3 linked regions of the Drosophila melanogaster genome follow. The protein of the gene in region 3 purifies or fractionates together with the protein of the main gene of each other region. This does not show direct contact. Each region holds a gene or a part of one and is shown on either strand. Other genes may lie near its edges. The genes, in order: Patr-1, PAN3 and Helz.

Evidence for each region.
Region 1: the proteins of Helz (region 3) and Patr-1 purify together in Drosophila melanogaster (affinity purification with western blotting, with the first as the bait; one study listed by BioGRID). This does not show direct contact.
Region 2: the proteins of Helz (region 3) and PAN3 purify together in Drosophila melanogaster (affinity purification with western blotting, with the first as the bait; one study listed by BioGRID). This does not show direct contact.

The regions. Positions count from the first base shown.
Region 1 is NT_033777.3:17,040,884-17,049,449, forward strand, and holds Patr-1 (protein associated with topo II related - 1), read left to right. Parts: upstream 1-2,680; 5' UTR 2,681-2,766; coding exon 2,767-2,805; intron 2,806-2,975; coding exon 2,976-3,789; intron 3,790-4,019; coding exon 4,020-5,548; intron 5,549-5,665; coding exon 5,666-5,911; intron 5,912-5,967; coding exon 5,968-6,246; 3' UTR 6,247-7,538; downstream 7,539-8,566. Other genes in the region: Trm7-32 (tRNA methyltransferase 7-32), read left to right, coding at 1-84, 140-822, 880-984; bdwf (bedwarfed), read right to left, coding at 1,155-1,730, 1,787-2,179.
Region 2 is NT_037436.4:3,068,873-3,074,935, forward strand, and holds the start of PAN3 (Poly(A) specific ribonuclease subunit PAN3), read left to right. Parts: upstream 1-2,260; 5' UTR 2,261-2,435; intron 2,436-3,674; exon of another isoform or gene 3,675-3,888; intron 3,889-4,208; 5' UTR 4,209-4,572; coding exon of another isoform or gene 4,573-4,606; intron 4,607-6,063. Other genes in the region: CG32486 (uncharacterized protein), read right to left, coding at 1,290-1,667. UniProt on the Drosophila melanogaster protein: Regulatory subunit of the poly(A)-nuclease (PAN) deadenylation complex, one of two cytoplasmic mRNA deadenylases involved in general and miRNA-mediated mRNA turnover.
Region 3 is NT_037436.4:14,787,715-14,793,955, forward strand, and holds the start of Helz (helicase with zinc finger), read left to right. Parts: upstream 1-2,220; 5' UTR 2,221-2,358; intron 2,359-2,836; exon of another isoform or gene 2,837-2,890; intron 2,891-3,722; exon of another isoform or gene 3,723-3,836; intron 3,837-4,156; 5' UTR 4,157-4,246; intron 4,247-4,313; 5' UTR 4,314-4,416; coding exon 4,417-4,746; intron 4,747-4,946; coding exon 4,947-5,550; intron 5,551-6,028; coding exon 6,029-6,241. Other genes in the region: Tdrd3 (tudor domain containing 3), read left to right, coding at 1-1,499, 1,605-1,874.

The sequences.
Region 1 (8,566 bases), on a different chromosome or scaffold from region 3:
ACCGACAAGCCAAAGACGAAGGCTGGAGGGCCAGGAGTGCCTTCAAGTTGCTCCACGTGGACGAAGCCTACGGAATTCTAAATGGTTAGATCATTGAAACTACTTAGGAACAAAATATAACACACTTTTCCATATATAGGTGTTCAGCGGGCAGTCGATCTGTGTGCTGCTCCTGGCAGCTGGTCCCAGGTGCTCTCTCGGAAACTCTACGATACCTGCGAAACGGACGATGAAAAGTCCGCTGTTAAGATCATAGCCGTTGATCTGCAGGCCATGGCCCCGATCCGTGGAATACTCCAGCTCCAGGGAGATATCACAAAGCAGTCGACCGCCGAAGCAATCATCGGTCACTTTGGTGGAAATGAAAAAGCCCAGCTGGTGGTCTGCGATGGAGCCCCCGATGTCACCGGGGTCCATGAAATGGACGAGTACATGCAGCACCAGTTACTTGTGGCTGCTCTCAGCATTGCCACCTGTGTGCTGGAAACTGGCGGAACTTTTGTGGCCAAGATTTTTAAGGGAAATGCCACATCGCTATTGAGCTCCCAGATGCAGATATTTTTCAAAAAATTCGACATCTACAAGCCACCGAGTTCGCGTCCTTCGAGCATTGAAGCTTTTGTGGTTTGCTCCGATTTTTGCCTTCCCGAGGGCTACATTCCTCAAGTGATTAACCCTGCTCGCGATGATATACGGCTACTGGCACAGAAAACAGGGTCGGAAGTAAACCGTCGTCTAGTTCCTTTTATAGCCTGTGGAGACTTAAATGGGTTGAGTGATCCCGAAGAGGGCAAGACTTCCTCCTCAGATGAATCCAAATCAGTAAGTGATGTGCCTAATACTTTGCTTTGTTTTTTTATTCAACCATCTTTCCCACAGAATTTAGAGTATGTTTACGATGCTGTTATGGACGACGCATCTTATCCCCTGGAATTTAAAGAGATTCTAAAGCAAGTCTATGATGAACAACGCCATATTATCTAAATATTTATAAAATAAAACCAAAAAAATTAAATTAAATTTGTATATTAAGTGGGCTTGGGCCAAGCTAAAAGAAATGTGATAAAATTAATCAAAATATTGAATAACTTAGATTATTTAAAGATTAGGTTATTAAGACTACCAAGATATTACTTAATTTTGTGCATATCCCGTTATTTGAGCGACAGCTTTTTTTGCTCGATTTCCAATAGTTTCTTTTTCAGTTCTATTTTCTCAGCCATTAACTGTTCAATTGCCAAGTGATGTCGCTTGTCCTCGTACAGCTTCTGCTTGTACAGGACAAAAAATTCATTGAGTGCAAGTTGAACGCTGTTGGCGGTATCGTGCACCATTTCTAGGTTATTGCTAATCTTGTCAAGCAGTGTGGTCTCCTCCTCCGCCAGTCGACTGCTGGCCAATGCGGCCCGTTTGTTAGATTGCAGGTAAAGCGGGTCAATGTCCGTTTTGTTCTCCTCCGGTTCGTAAACGTACTCGGCGGAAGTCTGAAGGGCGCCACCATCTTCTTCCGGGACCACATCCTCTACTTCGTCCACATCAAATTCCGTGGTGGAATTCTCATGCATTTCATCGTCGGAGACCTTCATAATAATCTGACTTACATCCTCGTTTAATCTACACAGTGTGGCTATTGTTTCCTCCGACGAAGTAAGACTGGTGCCAAAAGGCATGTTCTGCATCTCATTCTTTTCCACCTTTCTCAGGATAAACCTCTTCCAGTCCTTTAAGGCCTACAAACAAATCAACTTATAATGCAAGCGGTTAGAAAAAAAGTAAGTTAGAATACCCTTCTCCAGGTGGCTATATCTTTTCGCGGCGGACCGTGGCTATTAAGTTCGGATGACAGTTCCTCCCACAGCGACTCCAGATTGCCCCGTGTTTCCCACGTCGGATTCTGAAGCAGACGCGGATGTTTCTTCACGAATTCTAACAATATCAGCTCTTGCGTTGAGTTGCGCGGCTTGGCTTTGTTCCGGTCGATGGCGATGGTGGTCTGCGGCTGGAATTTGTACTTGGAGTTCCGGTTGAGTCCCGATGTGGGGTGCATCCTGTTCATGTGCTTGCTTAGATTCGTGGTGGTCGTCTTGTAAGAGAGCTTCGCCTTGCAGATATTACACACCGCAAACGTGTCGTCCACCGCCCGGAAAAAGCACCAGATCTCGCTCGTTTTCCGCTTCATTTCGACTAAGTTGTTTTGGAAAAGGAAACAGGCTCGTAGTTCCGTCCAAAGCAATAGTTCAAGAACTAGTAATTTAGGGATGAGCTTGCGGGCGCTGATTTCAAGTTTCGAACTAGTTCAAAATATCGAATACATTGAAGGAGTGCAAATGCACCTTAATTAGGGCAGATTTTTCATTGATCAGTAAAATCTAATGTTGTTGACTTATTAACCAGTCGTGGTAAGTCCCAAACTGAATAAATAAATATGCAACATACGAAATTTGGCAGTGGTTAAATCATCATTTTTTTCTAACATCACTGTAGCAAAATGCAAACTTATAAATTTAGACAAATCTTCAGTCGTTCACCTATTGAAAAAAAACGTATGAAAAAAATATATATTTTAAATTTGCATGTTAATTCCAACATTTGTAATATGATAATATTTATATGCGAGCGAAATTGATGTATTGTGGCGATAGTCAGAAAACCATCGACGTCAGACTATCGATAGTACCATCGATATTTTGACAGCTATACTGCTGAGGTGACAACTTGTCACTGACAAGTCATGATAATTTTTTGTAAAGCAATAGATTTATCGCCATGGATGACTCGTTTTTCGGCTTTGACACGAATCTACCGGTAAGCAGCGGTCCCGACATTGCGGCTGCAATATCCGGGATAGCGGGCCGCACAGGGGTCGGCAAATGCCCAACGCACACTTTTCACTCGGCAAATAAGGGGGCATCGAAGGCCACCGGGGGCAGAAAAAGTAGGAATGTCTAATTTACTTGCTTCAATTGTTTCTCCAGGACGAAGATGGTGGCGATGGACGCATCGTCGAGGCGGAATACGATGCCCTCAATGACGAAACCTTTGGATCCGCTATAAATGGCGACTGGGAGGAAGCCCATGAGACGATGGTACGCCTGGGCGGGAATGGCGAAAGGGTGCGGAAGCGACCCGCGGAATCTAGTGGAAATACGGATTTTGCCGATCAGGGAAATGGTGCCTTCCTGCGACACGCTAATCCGCTATCATCGGCGCCCTCTTCAAGCGGCTCCACTCCGGCCCCTTTGAATGCCCCCTTCCGACAGTCTCGTCACATAGGGGACTCGGACTTGGAGCTAAACATTTCCTCCATGAAGTTGGACGACATGGACCTGTCCTCTTTCACCACTGATAGCGAAGCCGGTGGGCTGAGCAACCGCATTAAGCTGGACTCCGGGGTCTGGGGATCACAGCCGTTTCCCAACAACCAACATTTGTTCCGCGAGCCTATGCGCAGCGCCTTCAAGCCACAGCAGCAGCAACATCAGCAGCACCAACCACAACAAATGAAGCCACCGCAGGAAGCGAATGCCAACTTTGCACTGAATCCACAGCCTTTTCCAAAAATTACAACTCTCGAGGATATAGAGCGCAATATGATCATTCAGCAGGCCATTCCGAAACAACAGCAGCAGAGCCAGCAACAGGCGGAACGCAAAATGTTTGATGATTTTAGTCTGGGTAACAGGCAGCAGGTGCCTACACCAACCATGTTGCAGCAACAGATGTTGCAGCAGCAGCATCATCAGAAACAACAGTCGCAGCAGCAGCCGCCACAACAAGCGCAGCACAAGGGTAATTATATATTAAAACTAAAAAGTATTGATGCATACAAAAACAGGCCTCAGTATTTAAAAAGAAAACATGTCCAACAAAAAGTATAATTCCTAAAAATATTTATTTCTTACGAATCTATTTTTGGGGACAATTTTTAAGACAGATTTAACCATTTAAGGAACAAACTTCAAGTCCCTGATAGATTTCTGCGACATATGAAAATAACACCATTTAACAATTCATTGCAGTACCCCCTGGCTTCTTGGGCACGCCGCACACCTCTCCACCGAGGCCAAATTTGGGTTTCCCCGGACCCGAGCTACTGCCCACGCCATCGTCGCAGCAACAACTAAACGGTATTGGTGGCAACCGAGTGCCGCCCGGATTTATTTACCCGCAAGGTCTGCCCGGGAATATTCCGCAATTGCCCCAGCATCCTCTAATGCAGCAGCACATGCCGCACAACTTTCCACTGCCCGGCGGCAACCAGCGACCTCTACCCAATCCACAAGCTCTGCCCACGGCCCTGAACAATTTCGCGATGCATCCAAGCTTCAATGCGATGCGCGCCGCTGGAATCCATCCAGGGGCTTTTATGCAACCTCCCCATCCGCACCAGATGCTGCCACCGCGAATGCCGCCGCACCCGCTGCAAGCTGCCACAAGTCTATTAGGTCAGCAGCCACCGAATTCCATGTATAACATGTTCAACATGCGACTAGTGCAAGAGATCCAGCAAAACCATCCGCTGCTTCAACAGGCTGCTGTTGTACGCCAAATGCAACAGAGCAGAGCAGGATCCGTGGCCAGCGATCGTCAGAGATCGCAGGCGCAACAGCAGCAACAAGGACGACGTCCAGATGGTACAGGAAATTACCCGCTGGAAGAGTACGATGAATATGCCAACCTAATGAGCACGCGCGACAAGCACTGGCTAATCGGAATCCAGCTTTCGCAGCTGAATACGGACACGCCGTATATCGACGACTATTACTACACGGTGTTCAGGGAGCGCAAGGCCCAACAGAACGGGCAAATGCGCAACAGTCAGGCGCACAAGGACAACCAGTTGAATCATCCGCTTACTCAGCCACGCGGCCATGCGCAGCTTATTCTCGTACAGTTGGGCAACAAGAATGGTACTCGCAATGGACACGGACGTGAGCGACGCAACTCGGAGAACACCAACAGCACGTCAGGCAACACGAACAATGGATCAGGTGGTAACAACAACAACCTGACAGGCTATATATTCTCACCACTGAAGTTCGAGAACTCACTGGGAAAGCTACAGTACGGAAGTGTGACAGCTCCGCGAAAAATTATCGATGCTGACATTATGAGTGGTGAATCAAATGCCGCTGCTGAAGCCAACGCAACTTCTTCATCAAAAAGCTCGACTCCGCTGCCCACCTCCGCGAGCCATGATGTAAATCCCAGTAGCATGCGGAAGTCGCGACACATTTTGCTTCTGATTGAAACACTGTATCGCTATCTGCTGAAGTTGGAGGATTTGGAAAGCCCAGAAGTGATGGCCACCATTGAGCTGAAAAAGAAAAAGGAAGCCGAACGGATCGCAGCCCTTGAGCAGCTGGAAATGGCCAATAAAACGCCCGAAGAACGTGCTGCTGAAGCCGCCAATCCGCAAACCATGAATCCGCAACTAAAGAACAAGTTCAACTATGAGGTAGAGACGAAAGCTGCGTTGGTCAATAAATTAAAGGCAGGTCTGGCCTTCGACAAGGTTATCGCCATGATGAATGTGCGCAAGGGAAAGGTGTGTACTTTTTCTTATACTAATTTTAACAAGTGCAACCAAATAGAATTCGATTTATGTTCTAGTGCTATACGCATGAAACTCACTATTTTATTTAAATCAATCTTTCCTTTGCAGATACTTATTAGACGCATAATGCCCTTTATTGCGGATCAAAGCATTCGCTGGGTCGTGTGGAGCGGCGTCTTCTGTTCCCTACAAACAGTGGTGAAAAAGGACAAGGACGACGTTGAAGGCGTCTTGTACGCTCTTTACCCAGAGTTTAAAAAACACGTTAACAAAGCTACTTTCGAACTCCTAGTGAGCATTTCATCTGCTATTACGCTGAATGACAAGAAACTTGCTGGAATTTTTTGCAGTCGCGTAAGTTATCCTCAGTATTAAGTAATAGATACGCGTACTAATTATTAAATTGGCAGTTTGGAATCCTTTCGCTGGTTGCCCTGATACTTCGCGCCGAGGAAATCTACGTCTCGCGAACTGACGCAACTCTTAGCGAGGAGAACAGGCAAAAGTGGCGAGAATTTCTGGCACAGGTTGCATCCTGCCTCAATCGCACTATTCAAAACCAGACCATCTCGGCAGCCATTGAGTCGGATGCAATTCAGCCACTTATGGACCACTTTGAACGGTTTAAAGATCTTAAACTGGATGCACTCTTAGCATTAATAACTGAAGCCAGGCATCAAATTGATTAGGTTGCTTTGACGGATTTTCATTTAACTTGATTGAAGCGTTTCAAATAATTGTGAAATTATATAGCCGAGTTCACTTTGCTTTACTCAATTACGCATATGTTTGTATAGAATATGTATCCAAAACTTACATATGTACGATCGTTTTTACATTTACGCATACTACACAAAAATATTGATACAGGGTATAAAAATCTCATACTGAAATTGAGAAAGTACTCGACTGTCAATAAATTTTGATAATAGTTTGTTAGAAACGTTCTTTTATCCAAAATTGTGTGCACTGTACAAGAAAGGTAGAGAGAGGAAATCATGTTTTATAAATATAATATCGAATGGTAGGTTTTGCTCATTGTACATACTTATATCATTTTATATTCGATAAGGAGTACTTTTCCGGCATTTTCTGTAGAGATTTATAAAGAATAATTCACCCCACAAATTATTCTTTTTTTTTTTTTGTCATCGAATTAACAACTGGGCTCTCCTATATCTTGTAATCACGATTGTAAAAGGAATATCATAAATACGTTTTAAAATTTAAAAGCACCGATTTAATGCGCGATCCATGCATACTCATTTAAATGTGCATCCTTAAGTATCTGCTTATTTTCTGGTATTTGTAAATATCGGTTTAATGAAATTTTACTATACTACCTTTTGGGTTTCATTGAATCAAATTTGTGCAAGACCCATTAAATATAGTCGAGACATTCAGCATAAATGTGTACTAAATAATTAGCATTGTGACAGGTGCAGCCGTATTTATTATAACAAAATGATCAAAATTGTGATACATTTTGACTTTTAAACATAAACGAAGTTCCGATGATCGGAAAGAATTAGTTTAACACACAAATACAAATTTGAAATTAGAAAACAGCAATTTTCACAAAACTTCTGTAACGCAACGGATAGATATTTGTTGTAAAAATCCGTTGTGGAGCATTTTAATTTTATTTCGTTTTTAATTGTATCTACACCATCATTCAATGTTGTTTAATTCATTTTTTTTATTGAAATTCATGTTTTGTATCTGAAAAAAATTCTACTCGACTGCAAACGTCTTGCAAATACTTTAAAACTATGCTTTTTTTTAGCAAACAAGAGTCAAAATACGATAGCTGTCTAAGATTGCAAACACATATACAATAATTGTAGTTTAATTTGTATTTATCACATACAAACACTTCAAACCTTTTCCTATAAATATGTTCGCTGATTCAAAAGTAAATTTTTTTAAATTGATATAATTTCCGAGAGTATAATAAATAAAAAATACCATTTCACAGAACACACCGAAACTAAAACACCTTATTTTTTTGGGGGGGTTTTGAAAAAGATGATATTTAGTTTAGTAAGCAGTCTGATAAAAACACATTAGTTGTCCATTTCAATGATATTTTATTTATGGATTTTTTTAGCTTTCCTTCAAATTTATTGATTTGCTTCCAATTGGTGTTTACGCTTGTGCTATTAAACGGTTTTTCTTCTATAATAATATATTAATCATTTGATTTCTATAAACAATTGTGCCGGGGGGGGGGGGGGGTGCATCATTAATGGCGAACGTGTTTTGTGTCTGTCTGTTTTTGTTTTTGGCGCAGAATCAAGCGTCGAAGTGTCGGCAGTTGCCTGTCCGTAAGGGACATTTTGTTGTGCGGAGGCGCCAAAGTGCGTAACAAGTGGCGGCGGCGCGCTCGGGAATTGTTGCAAATTTCTGAGTCGGCGACGCCAACCACTGGCGACGGTCACCAAGACGACAACTTGTCGGCAGCAGTCCGCCCAGCGCGAAGGGATGCGAAGCCCACTCTCCCGATCCCACCCCACACTGGCAGAGAGCATGCGGTACACTTGGAGAAATAATGTGACTTCAGGGTTAATTTTTACTCTGCAATTCGAATGAGCTCTTAAGTTATTAGGTTTTGCAGGAAAATTTTGATATAATAAAATAAAATAAATTATTCATTAAGCTGTTATGCATTTATTCTTTAAATTCACAAAAAAATATTAAGCAAAATTACGTTTATTTATATATAATAAATTATAATAAGTTCCTCAACTAATATCCTTGCACGCCTAAAATATGTCGATTTCGCATAACCTCCCCAATTTCTCCGAGTGCATCCAAAGGCTAGACTTAGACAGACGATTGTGGCGACCAGTCGCCCGTCGTTGCTTCTTCGGCGACGGCGACAATGGCACGACGACAGGCAGGAGGACAGGACTCTGGCTCTGCCGTGGAGCGGAGCAGACAGTGCCGCAGTTCTGGGCAGGACCAGGACTCAGCGGATGCGGATACGCAGAACTTTGATTTGCGAAC
Region 2 (6,063 bases), about 12 Mb from region 3:
GTTGATACACCACAGAACAACACATGCCTGGAACACCTTTTGAACGGAGAAAACAGTTCCTGCGATGTACGGGAAACCGGCCCCATCACCGACGTGTTCGAGGCAGAGAGAGGTTACATCTTCGCATTCAACGTGAACAAACTGAAGGTATCCCTAACAAACGGCTCCGAGCTCTCAATAATGGGGTCAGCCATCATCAGATACATTAACGAAACAATACAGATTAACGGTATCGATTACGACGGCACGGTTGACACGTTCCCTGAACAGACGGATTTTGATCTTCCCCCCATGCGAAAAGTAACTAGGAATACCACTATTACGGTACTAAGCCTAGAAAAACTGCACCTCGAAGCCACCCAAACAATGGATAAAATCCTGGCCGTCCATCACAATACTATACAGCACACCTGGACACTCTACACTCTGCTCGGATTGGTAACGTTCCTAGCAGTCATCTTATGGCTGCACCGACGAACGAAACACATCGTCCACATCCACGAGGATCATCACGTACCAATCTACGCGTCATCCATACCTTCGCTATGGCCGTCACTTCGAACTGGGGGGGGAGGAGTTACCACCCCACCCCCTAAACCCCCACGCCTCTAAACAAATCATCGGACACTCAACCGGGAAGACGGCAACTGGAACACCGCATCCGGCCGAATGCTGACATTCCGGCCGAATGCTGACATTACACAAAAGTCGCACTGCAACATTGTCCCCAGCTAGCCAGCCACATGCCGAGTCGGCATGTTCATTATGCTTACAATTAAGAACCTATGTACTTATGTATAAGACGAAAACGGAGGACTCGAGTAGCCACTCTCTGACAATAAACTTCATACTGATTTTGAACTTCAAGAAAGTCAGTCGTATTCTTTATTGGAAATCTTCACACTACAACTATCTGCTGAAACTTAAAAACCTTCATACATTTACACATCATATCTTCACAAAAGGCTCCACCCTCGATCACGGACTTAACTCCCGCCCTCGCTCCCCCTCGCACTCTTTCAATGTTTTCAAGGCGAATAATGCAAGAGCGCCCCAGCTAGACGTCTCGCTCTCGCACAGCTGTGTCTTGCTAGGGTGGAGAGAGGGAGAGAGGTGTTTTACTCTTACAGCTGAGCTGCCACGATTTGTTTGTATACAGAATGAGGCGCACACACACACGCGCACTTGCTGTTTTTCTTCTTTCGCTTTTAAAGCTCTTACTTCCTTTTTTTGATTCTAGTTTACAAGGGCTTATAGTTCAAGCCGCTGTAAATAATCCAAAAACTCACCTGGTACATGGCCGTCTTGGGCAAATCCAGGCAGACGGCACAGCACAGGGCATTGGAGATGCGGTGGGCCAGCTTTTCGTGCATTCCCGAGGCGGCTGCGGCACTGGAAAGCAAGCTGCTGCCGCTGCTGCTGGTGGCACCACCGCCCCCTCCGTCCAACAACTGTTTCTTGGCCGGCGGTTCTCCGCTGCCCTGCGTGTCCAGCGGCACGCCCACCACATTGCCGCCGCCCACCGACGAGGAGGACGACGATGTGGAAGAGGAAGAGGCCGAGGAGGCGGAGCTGGTCGTGGCCACCGCCTGGTTGTCGCCCAGGAGCGGTAGGTTCGAGGACGACGGCGGCTGTTGGACCGCCGAACTGGAGGATTCCACCGACATGATTGGAAATTTTCTTGGAATAATGTTTGTTGTGTTTTTCTTTGCCACTCGCTTCGTACACAAACTCCCACACACACGACCACTAAACTACTACACACACACAAGCAATACCCAGTTTGCTCTCTCTCTCTTTCGCTCGCACACTAAGTATGGCACTTTCTTTCAATTGCCACCTTTCCCCGCTGTCCGTGTCGTGTCGTTCTCTTCTGTGTTCTTCCGTTCTGTTCTGTTTGCAAGCTTTTTGTCCGCCGACACGTCCGCTCGCCAAAAAATTTGTTGTCTTTCTAGAGAGTGTTGTGCGGTGTGACCAAATCTTATATTAGGCAAAATACTAGTATAACGTATCGATGTTATTGGCAAAGCCTATCGATGTTTTTCTATTGTCTGTGTTTCTCCAGCCCTGGTTGATCGTTAGCAGGGACACCATCCCCTTTACAAAGTAATAAAATAACAAATATTATTAAATTAACCATTTCAAAATAAAATAGCATTAAAATAATATAGCAAAATCTGCCTTCATATATATAATTTTACAAGTATATTATTGAAAACGAATCCATTCGTGTTTAATGTGCTGCCCTTATATCCGGCAGTACGGAACTCGTCACTCGCGAGATGCGGTCACACTGCTTGCGGCAAACGGAAAACATGTAAGAAATTAAATATTGTGATTTTGTCTTTAAAATGTACAAAAGTTTGACAAAACACAAACGGCAGGTTCTTTATGAAGTCACCTCTCGCAAAGTGAACTATGACTGGTCAGTGGAGGTACGGAAAACGTGGATTAAAGAGCGAAAAATCGCAGTTTTCTCAGCAGACATTTTTGTATCACTTCGCTGTGCGCTGTGTGTTTGGCATTTTTTGTGTTTGTGTGTGTGTGTGCAACAGCGGCATCAATTTGAAAAATAACAAAAACAAATCGTTGGCGTGTTGAACAAAAAACTATACGTATTTGCTATCTGGCTTGCGTTATAAGAACCATTTGGACAAATTGCGTCTTAAAAATTTGGTGACCAAGATGGCTTCAATTTCATTTTCGGTGGTGAATTAAAAACTTTAATGAAAATAAAAACTTAATGAATTGACTTTTAATTCACGTGCAATTATTATGAAAATTTTTGAAAATTAAAATAAAAATATTTCCAAAAACGTTGTAACAAAACTACACTTATAAATTGGCTTTTGGCTTGCTTAGTGAACTTAGTTAATTATTTCCAGCTGTTCCCACTCAAAAAACAAATCGTATACATATGTGTTCTTATTTCCTTTGCTCCTGCTTTTTCTCTTCCCCTTCTTTTCGTTCCCTTCCCCTTTGCGTCCTCTTCCCCTTTTCCTAGCCAGCTGTTTGTCGCGTTCCACAAATATGGCTGGAGTGTGGATCGCGTTTGGAGCCCAGGCTCCCACATTTCTCTATGTGGAACGCAACCTGTGGCCAGCTGTTGGGTCCTGTTGAACTCCCCCCAGCCAAAAACTTACATATGTATATGTATTTATTTTGTGTATATATGCATGTGTGTATAACAACGCCAATTGCTAGGGTTTCTGCAAAACGTCCTGGCCACTTGAAGGTGAAGTGTTACAATACCATAAAGGGGTTTCGCCATTTTTAAAAGTTATTTTATTACATTATATTCAATAATGGAACTTCAGTAGCGTGTCAAAGGATTTCTCTTTGAAAGAATACGTATTTCATATCCAGCATTTATCAGCTGAAAAACATGAGGGACTTTATACAATCTGTTAAATTTCTTTGCATAAAATGATATATATGTTAATTAAAATTATTAACAATAGCTAAAGTCCATGTAACCCCTTGAGCGCGGATGTTTTCCCAACACTCCTCGAATGGAATCCACATCCACTTTGTTGCACACACAGCTGGCAGTTGTTGTTTTTATCCGACCTCCTGTGCACACACACACACAGACGGACGTACATGTATACAACACTCGGGGGTCGTTTGTGGACTCCATTTGGCTTGGCTGTTGGATCTTCTTTGCGTTTTCTTCATTCGTGCAGCGCCAATCGCGCGGTGTGTGTGTTGCGTTTTTCTTATTTGCAAAATCGTTGGAAAATGGTAATGAAAATGTATACAATATAGCAACAGCAGCTCCTTTCAAGGAAATATCCTCATTAAAGTAATTACGGTACTGAAAGCAATTCAAAAGCTAACAATGAAACAGGCAATTAACTACACAATATGTTGGCTTAGGTTCAGTGTGTATGTATTTTGGATGGTGTTAAATATAAAACTCTAAAAATATGAGTAACCAAGTGCGAAATGAAAAAAAGTGTGGAAAACGTAAGCAAATATGCGCGCAATTGTGTCTGTATATGTGTAGGAAAAAGCGTCCTCGTACACCCACACAGACTCACTTTGGAAAATTTAATGAAATCCAAGCTATACCGCCCTCTCACTCCCACTCACTGTTGCGTTTCGGGATTTCATTTTGTCGCCCCGTTTTGCAAAAACAAACAACTGTTTTTCGCTTACCGTTACTTATTTTAATTCAATGTTCTTCTCTTTCTCGCTTTTTACAGTCGACGCGCCTCAATTGTTAATCATTTGCCCGAAAATGCATTTCAACTGCAAGAAACTTACGTGAAAAAGTGAAAGAAAAAAATATTTTCGAAACGTACAATGTGAAAATGTGTTATTTGAAACTTAGCAGTTAAGCGCGGATTGTATGTATTATTTAAATTTTTGTTTCAATATTTTCTACAAAATTATTAAAAAGAACTACAAAAAAATCGAAAACAAAACGAAAAAACCAAGAAAAAGTTTTTAACTCAGTGCACATTAAAACGAAAACAAACGCAAAAACAAAGCGTAACGAAACGAGAAGGACCACGAAAAGAAAGAGAGCGCACGAGGAATTGGCGAAGGCGGGAGCGAAAGAGAAAAATGTCAACGTTCTTGAACAATTTCTTCCCGGCAGGTAAGCAAAAACAAAGCCAGAAAAGCAAAGGAAATCAAACACAAGCAAAGACAGGGAACGTAAGAGCAGAACCACAGCTGGTGGCAGGAGCGTATTGGAGAGGGGTTGGCGGGGTGAAATGACCCCCCCATCAAACAAGTTGTTCATATACATAGTTATTCTATGATTGTAATAATAAAATTGGTATGTTTATGAGCTTAACTCAGTGATTAATCATAGATCAGCTTTCTTATATTGATCGGTTAGTACGTTATTTTATCTGCCCCTTTTTAAATCCTTCGCACGCCTCTGGCTGGGTGGCATTTAATTGAAAGTCACCTTTGGCATATTTCATAAGCGTTCTCACCGGGGTCATCCTGTAATTCAATTCTGCGCCTCTCTTGTTTTTTCTCTCCACTGGCGGCATGTAAATTGAATTTTCCTACCGAAGCGCATATTGTGATTATTGGCAATTACATGGACGTGACCGAGGAACAAAGGAGGCGAAGGAGATAAGTAGGCAGAGAATGCGAGAGTGAGAGAGAGAGGGATAGGGACGGGATGGAGTAGCGGCCTAGAACAGAGAATCTTGGCATAATCAATCTGCCCCAAAACAATCTATACACTTCCCTTTAATTACGTACATTCCTCGCTGCAATACCATCGATTATCGTTTTGTTATTCCTGGAAACGCTCAGATTCCCATTTACTGCTCCTTGCAACCCCTCTGGGATCAGGAACAAGTTCCACACACTCTGCATTCTCCTCATGCATTTTCTTTGTCCTGCGAAAGAGATGGTCATAGAGAGGCCGAGACAGGGAAACTCATACAGGTACGGCAGGAAAAACCACTTCCTCGCTTCCCTGCCCTTTGCCAAAACCAGAGCCAAAACAATGAGACCAGCACAAAGGCTGCTTTCCAACGGGCACTGAAGCTTGGGATACTCTCTTTAGGGTGACTTTGTACAGTGTAACATTAACATATTATCCCATTATACCATAAATATTTGATCGTCGAAAGGATATTGTACAGGATGTCCTAGGACATTCAGGGTGTTTTTCACAATCATTCTTTACCAAGTAGATTCTGTTTCACATTTCTCAATAAAAATAATTTGCACGAATAATAAAAAGCGGTAGCAATACCAATTTGGGATCGAAGGATTAAGCTAGATGGCTTTAAGCCATCTTAGCCAAGTTAAAATCTCCGAATTACAAGAAAGGGTATAACAACAACCAAGCAGTCTAAGTAAATTGGTAATAGGTGGCAGAGGGGGTTGGCTGGGCTGAATGAATGCACTCGCAAACCCGTTTGCAGAGCCCAAAATTCAGACCGATCAAAACAACAGCGAACCAGAATTACAGCGCTATCAACAATGGCAGCTCCTTTCGAGCTTTCGGTTCATCTGGCTTTCTGGCTTTCTGGCCTGCTGAGCTGAGGCCAACGGCAGCTGACGGAAACACATTGACTTTGGTGA
Region 3 (6,241 bases):
ATGTTAAGAAGATCCTAGACAAGGGCTTCAGCGAGGAGGAGGCCCGCAGTGCCTTATCTGCTACCCGAAACAACTTGGAGCGCGCCCTATACAATCTAAAAAGACGCAGTGAAGCTGGCGGTGTGGGTCCGATCGAATCCGTGGGTCGTCCGGGACGCGGAGATCGTCCGCCCAGAGAGGGAAAGCGTGGAGCTAGCGCCAAGGACGAAGTTGAAGCACCCAAGCCGGCTGCCAACACCACGCTGTTTGATTTCCTAACCAATAAACTGCCCGCCAAGGAAACACCGGCCGCTAGTAATGCAGAAACCTTCGCTGCCGCTCCAACTGCCGCTCCGACTGCCCCACCCACTACCAATCACTTCAATCCATTTAAGCAATATGGAAGCTCGCGCTTCAGCGATTCCGAGAGCAAACCTTCAGCTATGGGCGGAGGCGGCAAGTTTGCAGATCGTTCTAGGTTTGAGAACAACGTATCGAGCAGCTTTGCCGCACATCGTGGTGGACATGTGGGTTCGTCGCGAGGCGGTGGCCGTAACCGGGGTGGCGGCAGGGACGAAAGGCCACCAAGAGAGGAGCGAGCCTACAGGGAAGACAGGCCTCCGAGGGAAGAAAAACCGCCGAAAGAGGAGAGACCACCGCGAGAGCGAGGAGCGTTCAATGATCGTGCAGCTGGACGTTACAAACCAGAAACGCCAACCGTAAAAACCGCAAATCGCAATGGCTCGGATAACGTATCGTTGAAACCGAATTCCGAGATTAAGCCAGATCATGAAACAACCAATGGGAAGGACCACACTGGCAACCGACGTGGCAGCGAACGAGGCAGCAATCGTGGAGGCTCCAATCGAGCAGAGAACGGCAACGCCAATGGCAACAGACGAAACAAGCCGGCAGCAAGCTTAACTTCGGCGAGTTCTGCAGCGAAATCGACAAATAGTGCTGGCGATGATTTCAACGCCCGTTTGAGTAAGATAACCGAGGAAACAGCTAATCTCAAGGTGAGCAGTGCGCCAAAGCGAGAGAATCGACGTAAGCAAGGAGGACAAGCCAATCGCCTGGCGGGATCGGGCACAGAAACAACGCAGCAGCAGCAGCCAGCACAGTTGCATTCGCAGAAGCCAGAGAAGGCTCAAACCAACCAAAAGCATCACAATCCCAGGCACAATTCGCAGGCGAACTACAGTCAATTGGCGAATGGCTACACTTACGATCCCAGCAAGATCATGGGTTTCCAGAGCAAGGAGGCCAACGAGTTTGCCATGAACCTTCTAAAGAGCCAGGGTGTTACACTGCCCAACGAAAAACAACAGGAGGAGGAACAGCAGGAATCGCCACCCATGTCCTTTGGCCCCGTTTCCGCTCCTGTTTCCCGTGCGCAACCTGCTCCAGTGGCTGTGCCACAGGCTGCGCCACGGGATCAGTTCGGCATGGTGCCAGGCGATGCGTGGATGTGGCAGAAGGGCGACTTGTGCATGGCCAAGTATTGGGACGATGGAAGGGTGAGTTTAGGTCGATAAACTGAAAGTACATTCGTAATTGTAGTAGGACAAAGTATTCAAATTGATCTATTGAACTTAACTTATCATTCCTTCTTTATTTTCCAGTATTATGAGGCTGAGATCACGGGCGTGTCGGAGAAAACTTGCGTGGTCTTCTTTATGGGCTATGGAAACCATGAGGAGGTATTGAAGGTCGACATCCTGCCCATCACCGATGCCCAAAACAGGCCACTGAGCAACTCAGCGCAGCAGCAGCAACCGCATCTGCAGCAACAGCAACCGCATCTACAGCAGCAGCAACATTCACGCTACCGCGGAGATCGTCAGACGCAGCAGCAGCAAGTCTACGTGCCGCCCCACAAACGAGAGCATTGAGACAACATGGTAACAGCCTGTTAACAACGTATTTAAATCAATTAACATGTTTCGAATAAACAACTTTACAGAATATTAAAACTATGAGTACGTATTTTGTAATCTGCTGACTTTCATATAATTTAAAGCGTACTGTTGATTACGTCTTACCTATTAAGTGAATATATCTCCTATAACGTGAAAAATTGAATTAAGCAAAGTTTTATTTAATAATTTAGTAATTAACATTTCTTTGTAAACATTATTCGAATTCGATTAATTCCTGGCGCAGTACTATCGATTGTCCCTGATTTCTGCGCGACATGTTCAGCACTATTTCGCGCCGCTGCTCAGCACTGGTGCATTTCGCGAATTTTCCCTCATACATACATAACTTATTTTTAACATTTTTCGACGTGATGTGCATTTTCTCTCATAGTTTTGTGCTTAACCATGTAAAATAGAATTAGTCCGTAGTGTACAAACAATAGGATTTAGTGCAAAGGTAACGCAAAAAGAGTGCAAAAGCCCGAAATGTACGCACAAATTGGCCAGCAAGTGTACAGCTGGCTGGCTGACTTGCCATAAACGCGCTGGAAAGGGTTCAGCGCAGTAAATTTTGCTTGCTGAGCATGCAAAACGATTAACGAGCCGTATAAATAACTGACTAATCAGATAAAAGTGCAATGCGGTCATATGCATGTATTGTGCGCATATATTTTCATATGATGGCAAAATCATCGTGTAGTACATGCGCCAGTGTTGTCAAGTTCGCATGCGGTGTTGCAAAGCGACGGTTGTCGATATTCGTGCAATGTTTTGTGCCGATTTTATTGAGCAATTAACATGGCATTAAAATAAACGAAATTAAATTATTATTGCCCGTCATTAAATGTGTTGCATGTGTCACTTCTTAAATACTGGAAAATATGATTGATCCCACCATTCATTTCCACATGCGATACTCGGCGAGTGCCTTGCGAAGTTGGCCAACACTGGCGACTGTCTGCTGTTTTCAGCACGTAAAAAGAAAAATGGTAAAATAAATCCTTCTCGATTCTCGGGCTTGGTGCAAATTTACAATTAAATACGCTTCAACCATAACCAGCCACATAAACCGTAGACTAACATCGGAAAATTCGTGAAAAGTGCCTTTGTTTAGCCTGCAAACAACTGAAAAGACAACGTCAGGCAAAGAAAATCCGGCCATGTATATAAAAAAGCCAAGAAAAATCAACATTACGCTCAAAACTTCTGGAATTTGCATTTGATCGCCAACTGCGCTCGCAATTTACTGATAAATAATACCCATTTATTGTCGCATATAAATAAAAACCGCACAACAACAAAACGCACGCATACACGCAGCGAAAAAAGTAGCAGGAAAAATAAAAGAGAGCAAGCACCTCTACCAAAAAAAAAAGCAGAAAAATAATAAGAAACAACTTGAAAATTACTTTTAATTATGCTGGCGAATTTTCTCGTTCTGTGCAAGTGTTTTCCACCGGATTCTCCTCCCCCCGAGATGCCACCCTCCTCCGAGTTTTCCGTCCCCCTTTTGTGCCGGTGCGAGTGTGAAAATTGCTCTTATGAAATTTTGCGTAACCGAATTAGAATGAAAATTGTGTAAATCGAAAAATAAAGACACAGCACTTTGGATTGTTTATCATACATATGTACATATATACATATATATTCTTAGTTGCAGGCGCACTCTATAAATCCGTCTGTATATTTGTACTAAGTACACACAATTGTTTGGGAACCGATAAGAAGCGAGATATAAACAATTTCTGTTTTGGATTTAGCGAACATTACTGGCAGTCAACGAAGATGATTTAATCAATTCTTCAATATCCAAATAATTATCCGTACAAACAAGCCGGTCTTTAAAGTAATCTAAAATGTGAAATCGCCAATAGGAAAATTCAGGACTAGAATACTTAAGATGTGAAATTGTGTGCAAATTTCAAGAACACAACGGTAATTATAAACATTAAAGATTACAACATACATTAATGTATAGTACTATTATAAACCAAAGACAATAAATGTGCTTTATTGAAATAACTAAGTGAAAGTAAACTCTACATGAGAAATAACTACTTAAAAACATAAATACGAAAGAAAACAACACGTGCTCTATAAAACCAAAAATATAACATAATATAACATAACATTAATAACATAACCAAATCTAAAAACATTACACTCAACCAATTCACAATAAAAACATAAATAAGCCGTATATCCGCCATACGAACATGAAAATAAAAACTAAAACCAAACATCTTTCTTTACAGTAAACATAATGCCCGCAAAGTATCTAAAACATTAATGTAAAAACGATAATCGATTTCTTATTATTAACCACACAAAAACTGTTAAATTGTGTAAGTATAAATTCACTGAATAAAATGATCAAGAATACAAGAATACAACTTTAAACTATCCCCACAGAATTACCGTAGAGCTTAGACGAGCGATCAAGACAAGGACCTGAAAACTTCACACATGCATGACTGACCACCCGGAGGAGCCACTAAACACCAGCCAGTAAACGATGGCCGCCGAGAAGGAGATGCAGGCCCACGACATGGTCCGACGACGGAGTTGGGCCCGTGCTGTGGCGCTCTACGACCAGCTGATTGCGCCCAGTCCCGGCCAGGGAAGCGGTGGCCAGAGTGCAGGATCAAGGGCCCAGAAGGACCAGCAGATCGCCTGCCTACTGGGACGATGCGAGTGCCTCCTAGAGCTGGGAAAGTTCGAGGGTTGTCTGGCGGACGCCTACAAGGTGCTCACGCTGCTCTCCGAGCAAACAGAGTGCCTGGCCAGCGTGTCCAGGGCACGCCGATGGCTCGTCCACGCTCTTTTCAAGATGCACAAGTACGGGGTACGTATAATCCGGAGTTTACAAGAGCTTATCCCTGCTCTTGTTTTTAAGGTTTTTCATTTCACTGCACATGCTTATATGATTTACCAAGACTTAAGTTTAAAATTCAATGAGCCTTGTATGAGATTGTAACAATGTGCCAAACATACTGAAATTTACTGGAACTATGCAATCATTACCCTTTTCCAACTTTCTTTCAGGATGCCGAAATCTTCCTGAGCAAGTGGATCAACGAGCTGAGCGGCCAGCAGATATACTCGGACATATCGAAAACCCTTGAGCGGTACAAGTCCATCATTCAGATGATCATGAACGGGCAGCACAAGGCGCAGGCCCTGAAGATCCCACACGCCCGTCTCGAGGACGAGATGGCTATACTGGATACCAAACTGGATCACTGGGCCACCAACAACCTGCCGCTGGACAAGTACAGCAAGCTGCTCAGCAACAAGGGCTTGAAGAAGCGGGAGCAGCAGCAGCAACAGCAGCAGCAACAACAGCAGCAGAATGGCAATGGAATCGGCAGTTATGCGAGCAGCAGCAGTAGCTCCTCAACTGGCAGCAGCAGCACGATGTCCAGTTCCAGCACAAGTCTCCACAAGACCAACGATCTGCTGGCGGCCATGAAGCTCACGGCAGGAAAACACCAGCCGGGCTCCGGCGACGGATCTGGCTCGGATCAGGGCGATCAGGCGGCTCCATCGACCACCTGCAGCTACTGCACCATCACCTTTCAGACGAGGAACGAACTGCGACAGCACTGCCAGACCGAGGCGCACCAGAAGGTGATCATGAGCGATGAGGGTGAGTATTTTGAGGTAATAGGCGAAACATTCAGTGCTCAAAACAGAGCCAGCATTTTAAATAGGGCATATTGAAATCGGATAAAGGCAGTTGTGCAGTTCTAGCCTTCTGTGCACATTTTAACCTTCTGGTTAGCGTCAGAATTATGATTTGATAGACATGGCTATAATTAGAATGCCAATGTGGTGTAAAGAGATGCATTGTTTGAAAAGATTGAAGCACTGTTTATACATTCATTCACCTCCAATGTTTAATAGGTCATTTGCCTCTGCAAATGCCAAAATTGCCATTTATGTTTGCATAATTAACATTAACATTTAAATGGCAATATATTTTATAAATAAAAAATCTATCTAACTAAATGATTCAACACACGTAACTGAATTCTGGCTACATATATTTTTATATATATAAAAAATAACTAAATACATAAATTTCCAGTCATTCAAACTAAATAATGTTTTTACTTTCCGATTAGGTCGTGACTGGAAGTGGCGTCCGCCGCCCCGTGGTTATACACTGGACACCTATTCCCTGTGCGAGACGTTCAGCGAGGCGCACATCTGTCATTATGGAGCCCAGTGCGTGGAGGCCCATGGACAGGATGAGTTGAACGAGTGGAAGGAGCGCTTCGAGTACCGGCGAATGCGGATGCAGAAGGCTTGTGAGAAGGAGCTCTACGGCAAGTCGT